Linked DNA regions of Xenopus tropicalis. The protein of the gene in region 2 binds, or shares a complex with, the protein of the main gene of each other region. Links are inferred from orthologs where the notes say so. Each region holds a gene or a part of one and is shown on either strand. Other genes may lie near its edges.

Region 1 (4,474 bases), on a different chromosome or scaffold from region 2:
GCCTTCCTCCTTGATCCTGACCTCACCCTTCCCGTGGGTGCCGGAGGCCCCCGCTGACAGTTATGCCTCTCCTTGCGCTGCGCGACAGGCCCTTTTATAAGGTTGCGCCCCGTGCGTAATGACGTCACACCCACAGGCGCAACCTTATAAAAGGGCCTGTCGCAAGGAGAGGCATAACGAAGCAGCCGACGAAGCATGAACATCTCCAGCCTGCGGATCCAATTCAGTCGGATTGGGGACCACATTGGCTGGTTGATGCGCTCCCCGAACTGACTGCGCCCAGGGCCAAACAACCGAATTAGCCTAAATTCCCCTGATATCACCCACCTGTAGGTGTATGCGCCCGCCCGAAGGTGTATGCTCCCGCCCGTAGGTGTATGCGCCCGCCCGTAGGTGTATGCTCCCGCCCGTAGGTGTATGCTCCCGCCCGTAGGTGTATGCTCCCGCCCGTAGGTGTATGCGCCCGCCCGCAGGTGTATGCGCCCGCCCGCAGGTGTATGCGCCTGCCCGCAGGTGTATGCTCCCGCCCGTAGGTGTATGCCCGGGGGTGTATGCGCCCGCCCGCAGGTGTATGTGCCCGCTCGTAGGTGTATGTGCCCACCAGAAGGTGTATGCGCCTGCCCGCAGGTGTATGTGCCCGCCCGTAGGTGTATGCCCGGGGGTGTATGCGCCTGCCCGTAGGTGTATGTGCCCACCAGTAGGTGTATGCGCCCGCCCGTAGGTGTATGCGCCCGCCCGCAGGTGTATGTGCCCACCAGTAGGTGTATGCGCCCGCCCGTAGGTGTATGCGCCTGCCCGCAGGTGTATGTGCCCACCAGTAGGTGTATGTGCCCACCCGTAGGTGTATGTGCCCACCAGTAGGTGGGGATATTGTGATAAGAACCCTCGGCAGGTGAGCGGATCTTTACGTGTATGGCCACCTTAATGCTGAGCCCCTCGGTTCCTACGCGTTTCACCCCTAGCGATGGATTTGCAGCCAAGTTACCCTTTTTGCCATCGGCACATTTTTTCGCTAAACGGCTGCAAATATTTGGCGTGAAACAAATTTCACAGAAAAAGTTGTACGTGCGCCGCTCACGCCACGGGGCAGATTTACTAAAACTCCATCCTTTCTCTTTCATGTTTTATTTTTTCAAATTCAACTAAACTCATCTGTTATTTACTATATAAAAGTCGCACGGAAAAGTCACTGCAAGAAAATTCTTTAAAAAAATGTCAATTTTTCAAATGGTCAGTACAGGAATTGATGTAGAGGCGGCACTGACCCGCAATAAGCGCTGAGTGAAAGAAAATAACAGCCAAGGCTTGAGGGCTACTCAGGGCCAGGCTTCAGGCTTGGGTCATACCACTGTTGTACAGAGGGAGATTCCCTGCATTAATGCTGAGGAGGAGAGGAAGAATAGAAATAAACCAATAAAATAAGACAAAAATGTAATTTATTTGATTAAAAAAACAACTTCAAAGCAATGTTTCTCTTTCCACCCCCGCTGTGCAGTTGGTTCGGCCCAGGACAGGCGTCTCAGCTTGTTACTATGGAACCCTCCTAGCTCCGCCCCTTTGTGTCCCCGTACTGGGTTGCTAAGGAAACGTGGGAGGGACCTTCTAGGGAGGAAAAAAAAAGTCTTACGTCATAGCGGCGCGCAAAGGTGAGAGGTCAGGCGGCTGCCGTGCTGGTTCTGTTCCGGTTCCGACTCACTTCTCGTTATATGTGCTGTGCGGCGGCCCGGAGCCTCTCCATGTGGGTGTCGTGCCGGGGGGAGCATGACCCGGAGAGCAGTTAGCAGGAAGCGGAGGGCGGCTCCTGGAACGGGCCCCGGGGAGCAGGTAGGTGCCTGTGTGGGGGGCCCCGGGGAGCAGGTAGGTGCCTGTGTGGGGGGCCCCGGGGAGCAGGTAGGTGCCTGTGTGGGGGGCCCCGGGGAGCAGGTAGGTGCCTGTGTGGGGGGCCCCGGGGAGCAGGTAGGTGCCTGTGTGGGGGGGCTGAGGGGGGCAGGTAGGTGCCTGTGTGGGGGGGCCCCGGGGAGCAGGTAGGTGCCTGTGTGGGGGGCTGAGGGGAGCAGGTAGGTGCCTGTGTGGGGGGCCCCGGGGAGCAGGTAGGTGCCTGTGTGGGGGGCCCCGGGGAGCAGGTAGGTGCCTGTGTGGGGGGCCCCGGGGAGCAGGTAGGTGCCTGTGTGGGGGGCCCCGGGGAGCAGGTAGGTGCCTGTGTGGGGGGCTGAGGGGAGCAGGTAGGTGCCTGTGTGGGGGCCCCGGGGAGCAGGTAGGTGCCTGTGTGGGGGGGCCCCGGGGAGCAGGTAGGTGCCTGTGTGGGGTGCCCCGGGGAGCAGGTAGGTGCCTGTGTGGGGGGCCCCGGGGAGCAGGTAGGTGCCTGTGTGGGGGGGCCCCGGGGAGCAGGTAGGTGCCTGTGTGGGGGGGCCCCGGGGAGCAGGTAGGTGCCTGTGTGGGGTGCCCCCGGGGAGCAGGTAGGTGCCTGTGTGGGGGGGCCCCAGGGAGCAGGTAGGTGCCTGTGTGGGAGGCCCCGGGGAGCAGGTAGGTGCCTGTGTGGGGGGCTGAGGGGAGCAGGTAGGTGCCTGTGTGGGGGGCCCCGGGGAGCACACAAGGTATCAGGGGGCGGGGCTGCAGTGCAGGTAAGTGGGAGGCTGGATACACACAAGGTATCAGGGGGCGGGGCTGCAGTGCAGGTAAGTGGGAGGCTGGATACACACAAGGCATCAGGGGGCGGGGCTGCAGTGCAGGTAGGTAAGTGGGAGGCTGGATACACACAAGGTATCAGGGGGCGGGGCTGCAGTGCAGGTAAGTGGGAGGCTGGATACACACAAGGCATCAGGGGGCGGGGCTGCAGTGCAGGTAGGTAAGTGGAAGGCTGGATACACACAAGGTATCAGGGGGCGGGGCTGCAGTGCAGGTAAGTGGAAGGCTGGATACACACAAGGTATCAGGGGGCGGGGCTGCAGTGCAGGTAAGTGGAAGGCTGGATACACACAAGGTATCAGGGGGCGGGGCTGCAGTGCAGGTAAGTGGAAGGCTGGATACACACAAGGTATCAGGGGGCGGGGCTGAACTCAATATGATATGCCTGGGGGGGGGTGGGGGCACTGTGCCTGCTTGGGAATCTCTATAGAAGGGAGAGGTGGGACAGTGGGTATGGGGATATTTTTTTAACTTTAGGGACCCAGACTTAACTTAGCCGTTTGCCACCTCAGCTAGAGACCCCCATGAACATCCCCACCTTGCTCGGTGCGTGTGTAGTGCCCCTTGCTGCCCCTGGGTACAGGCTGGCGCTCAGCATCCCTATCAGTAAGTGAAGGCAGATGCCGTGGCTCCGGCATGGGTGGCAGTGACTGGCATCTAATTCTCCTCCATTAACTGAGTGCTGGGTGGGCAGTGACGAGACTGCTGCTGGGCAGTGCCCGGGCTGGGTACAGAGAGAGCAAAACTCATTTACTGCCTGTGGGTTTGTGGGTCCGGCAGCCAATCAGAGAAGCCACAGTTGATAGCAGTTGCAGCTCCAGGGGTCAGGAACCTGTAACTTCCATCTCTGTAGGCAGTGCCACAAGCCACCACCCATATTGCCCCCTGGCACCTCTGTAGGCAGTGCCACAAGCCACCACCCATATTGCCCCCTGGCACCTCTGTAGGCAGTGCCACAAGCCACCACCCATATTGCCCCTGGCACCTCTGTAGGCAGTGCCACAAGCCACCACCCATATTGCCCCCTGGCACCTCTGTAGGCAGTGCCACAAGCCACCACCCATATTGCCCCCTGGCACCTCTGTAGGCAGTGCCACAAGCCACCACCCATATTGCCCCCTGGCACCTCTGTAGGCAGTGCCACAAGCCACCACCCATATTGCCCCCTGGCACCTCTGTAGGCAGTGCCACAAGCCACCACCCATATTGCCCCCTGGCACCTCTGTAGGCAGTGCCACAAGCCACCACCCATATTGCCCCCTGGCACCTCTGTAGACAGTGCCACAACCCACCACCCATATTGCCCCCTGGCACCTTTAGTAGCTTACTCTTTGGCACCGACAGCACCCAAGTCTGTACCCATATTTCCCAATCCCTCCCTATTATCATATAAGGCCCCTGTCTTACCCTTTAAATTTGGGTTCAGTTTATTATTGATCAGGGGCGGAGCCTACTAGAGACTTCTGTATCACTCCCGGCCCATCAGTACCGCTGGGTGTCAGACTCCAGTCCCGAGGCTGCTCCCTGTGTGCCTGGCTGCCCCCACTGCTCGTTACCCTCATTAACTCTTGGTTTCTCCCCCCGTTAGTCGGACTGGGATCACTCGGCCCATAAACGCAAGAGGCTCCCCCCGGAGAAGAAATCGCTTGTGTTCTACCTGAAGTCCAGAGAGCTGAAGCCTCACAATGACTCCAGTTACCTTCGTCTGTTACGCGGCCACGCAGCTTGCACTCTCCCCGGCATTCTCTCCGAGAGGGAGTTCCACCTGGGGACCCTCAATAAAGTCTTC
Region 2 (3,809 bases):
TGACGGGGGAGCCATCGCTATATGCAGAAGCTTGTTAGGTAAAGGATCGGTACCTTTTTTTAGCGATTGAGGCAATCTGCTCTGCTGGTGGTTGCTTAATAGTGCGGTGAGGGTACGGAGCGTTCACAGACACATCCTGCCTGGTCAGCTGCGCGCATGCGCCCCAAAAAAAGGTGCAGGCAGTTCATTTTACTTCTTAAAAGTAAAATAATTGCTCTAATGCATTCATTTTTCATTGAATCACAATGAAACATTTTTCAAACTAATGCCAACAGTGTATGATATCAAGTCTGTTATTAAGTTGAAGAGGAAAAATAAAGAAAACTTACCATCTTATTTCCTCCTCTGATGAATATAGTTACAGCTCTAGAGTTCTTGCATTGCTCAATAACAAGCATTCGATCCTTGGTTGTGCCAAAAGAAATTTCTTTCACAATACCAGCATAACCAAGTTTTTCTGGAGTTAACTCACAAAATCGTGGGACAATACGGCCTCCTGTTGCAATAGCAATTAACTGCAAAACAAGAAGAAGAAGAAGTTAATTTCTTCTACTATAGAATAATGATCTACATGTATAACCATTACAAACAGTCTGCAAATTAATGCACATTTTTGTCAGACTAATGAAAACATGTTTTAACATAGATTTTTATATTTAACTGCAAAAAAAGAGACAACAGCAAACAAACCCTCATGTGTAATAAAAGGCACTGGCACTCTCAAAGTTTATTTTTCCATACATAAAAAGCAAAAGGATAGGCTATCCTTTTGCTTTTTATGTATGGATAAATAAACTTTGAGAGTTCTCATTTTACAACGCTGCTTCCTGACAACTTTTTGGTTTCTTGATATCCAGATGTGCCATCCAGCACACTTCTAATTCCTGTCTGTATTTAGAACCCCTTTTCATGGAGCATCTTCATAATGGTAAGGCTGCTATTTCATAAAAGACAGGGGGCAGAGACATCTGAAAGATGCCCTGGTCTTACCCATTATCTGGGGGCAGAGTCATCTGACAGGGGCTCAGGAAAACCTCAACATGGTATAATTCCTGCCAGTAGAAAAAAACCCATTAATCTCAAAGGGAGGAGGGATCTTTATAGTGGATGAGCGAGTGTCAATTTAACTAGGGTCAATATTTTTACCCACCCACAGGACAACATCTCTAAGTGCCAGTCTAAGTGCTGCCAAAGGACATGAGGGAAAGAGGAGTTATACTGTCCTTTTAAAGCAGTGATCTCCAACCAAGGGCTCAAGACAACAACATGTTGCTCACCAACCCCTCTAATGTTGTTCCCAGTGGCCTCAAAGCAGGTTTTCATTTTTAAATTTCTGACTTGAAGACAAGATTTGGAGGCATAAAGTCCATGTGTACTATCAAGCAGAGCCTCCTGTAGTCTGCCAGTCACCACTGGGCTATCAAATAACCAATCACAGCCCTTATTGCTCCCCAAAAATTTTTAACATTTAAATGTTGCTCACGGGTAAAAAAAGGTTGGGGACCCTGTTTTAAAGGCTAAGGCATTCCTATCACAGCTCCTGTGAATGGAAATTACTGTATTGCAAATACACATAGCAGTGACAGACCTTGGTGACAAGTCAGCCCAACATATAATGTTTTGCCTAATAAAAGAAAACAATTCTAAGCAACTTTGCAACATACATTCATTACAAATTTGCAATGGTTTATAGGTTATTTGTATATATAATTGCTATTATAAGTAGTTTGCCAGTCCTTTTCTATTCTCTGCCCAGTTAGCTCTGGCAATTGAAAAAACACAAACAAAAAGAAGCTCTCTGCAAAATTGTGTAACAGTAGGACATCAAAAGGTGATGGGGTTTCTCTTCACTTCCTCATCTGCAAATGCACCTTTTCAGATTTTCAAACCTGCCCAATGCTCAAACCAAGCGATATTCACATTATATGAATATAGGAAGGCTTTAGCAAAAAGCATACACACACAGATAATATTACAAAATGCAGTTTTACACAATAATATTGTTCCAGCTGTACACATGCATACACGATATGAAATGAATTGCATTGTTATGCCAATATTTATGTAAAACTGCAACAGATAAAGTAAATAACATGGTTTCAGAGTAGGGGCATTTTGTGAGAATAAAAAAAGTGTAGGAATGGGGACAAATTAGTATAAGAGTAACAGTGAGAATAAAGTGGAAAAAAGGGAAAAGGAAAAAAAAAATGTGGCTATAAAAGGGTAGGAAAAAAAAGGAGTATAAGAAAACATAAGGAGAACATAATATGGGATAGAAGCAGGAGAAAAGAAAGGGGAAAAAGAAAATCAAAGCAGCAGATATATATGCATTTATATAGGATCTGGATAAACATTGGGAGGTCTGTAAAAAATAATTATATGCTATAAAAACAAAATAAATTGTTGCCTGCCTTGATTATCCCTCCAAAAATTAAACATGAAAGATTAAACTACTCATGTATTAGATTTGAATGTTCAAGGTTTAGCGTTGTTTGGTTGCCTTTGCTATTTTTTAGAAGAAAAAAAAATTTACCTCTATTTCAGGTCCACCAACCCATCGAACAGCAGGAAGTTCATTTTGTAATAATAAATGATTTGCTTCATCGTCAAAGCCCCACTGACATATGGCAAGATTTGCACCTGTATCTTTTATCTATAAGAAATTAAAGCAAAAGCAGTATTTCTAACATCAGTTAAATGTGGTTAAAGGAAAAAGAAAAGTAAAAACTAAGTAAGCTTTATCAGAAAGGTCTATGTAAATACAGCCACAAGCACTCACAGAAACAGCTGCACTGACTTCTCTGTCAAAAGATTAGTTGTGTCTGTTTTCCTCTGCCAGAGAGACACAGCTTTCAGCTCTCTCCTCTCTGCTGCTCCCCCCTCCCTCAAGAATGCTAAGAACTCACTCCCTCCTTTAGGAATGTAGATCTGAGCCAATCAGCAGGAAAGCTGACACATAGGGGCAAATTCATGAAAACACGAATTCGAATCGTATTGGCGATCCGAAAGTCTCAAAATTTTCATATCCGAATGATCGTAAAATGCTGGAACACCTTTCCGACTTTGATCCTTCTGTGCATGATTTTGGAAGCCTCCCATAGGACTCAATGGCACTGTGCAGCTCCAACCTGGCCCAAGGAAAGTCACGATTCCGAAGCTTGAATGAATCCGAAACTTTCGTACTCGGTGCGACAATACAATTTTGTCACAAAGTACGAAAAAGACCCGAAAATACGCCGATCGAACGCTCGGAGCGTTCGTGGATTAGTAAATGTGCCCCATAATCTAACTTGGTCTGGGTGTCTGTTCAGAAGCGAGACATTATGGGAACTTTCTTTACACAGATTAGCGTTTTTTCTTCCTGTCTGGCTTCTAATCATCTGAACGGGAGAAATATGTGGAGAATTAAGGGCACTATTGAAACAACTGAAGGTACCGTATATACTCGAGTATAAGCCGATCCGAATATAAGCCGAGGTACCTAATTTTACCTAAGAAAACTTATTGACTCGAGTATAAGCCTAGGGTGGGAAATGCAGCCGCTACTGCTAAGTTTCTATAATCAAATAAATAATAAAAGGACACTCAGGGTGACCCCCTGTGAACTCTTCATAAATATATCATGCTGGCAGCTGCAGATTAGGGAAAGGTGGATGGAGGACCCTTTGACCCTCCTGCCTTGAAGAGCACTGGGAAAGAAAACAGGTACAGGGAAAGAAAAATGGTACAGCAGCAGACAAAGCCAAGTTTGGGAAGGCTAAGCTGCCATACTAAGTGACAGGTTCGGGCAGACATATGGGGATCCCATC

The links.
Region 1: the proteins of cct5 (region 2) and dcaf12 are in contact, whole or in part, in a cryo-EM structure (PDB 8AJM), measured with the Homo sapiens proteins. The link is inferred for Xenopus tropicalis from reciprocal best matches to the Homo sapiens genes CCT5 and DCAF12. Residues at the interface, in NP_036205.1 of Homo sapiens: Gly537, Glu538, Ser539, Glu540, Glu541; in NP_056212.1 of Homo sapiens: Lys91, Phe93, Lys108, His144, Trp186, Phe188, Arg203, Lys254, Arg256, Glu298, Val300, Arg344, Phe411, Tyr422, Leu440, Pro441, Ser442, Gly443.

Annotation. Positions count from the first base shown.
Region 1 is NC_030677.2:211,229,486-211,233,959, reverse strand, and holds the start of dcaf12 (DDB1- and CUL4-associated factor 12), read left to right. Parts: upstream 1-1,655; 5' UTR 1,656-1,761; coding exon 1,762-1,824; intron 1,825-4,273; coding exon 4,274-4,474. UniProt on the Homo sapiens protein: Substrate-recognition component of a DCX (DDB1-CUL4-X-box) E3 ubiquitin-protein ligase complex of the DesCEND (destruction via C-end degrons) pathway, which recognizes a C-degron located at the extreme C terminus of target proteins, leading to their ubiquitination and degradation.
Region 2 is NC_030682.2:71,967,709-71,971,517, forward strand, and holds part of cct5 (T-complex protein 1 subunit epsilon), read right to left. Parts: intron 2,654-3,809; coding exon 2,534-2,653; intron 516-2,533; coding exon 330-515; intron 1-329. UniProt on the Homo sapiens protein: Component of the chaperonin-containing T-complex (TRiC), a molecular chaperone complex that assists the folding of actin, tubulin and other proteins upon ATP hydrolysis.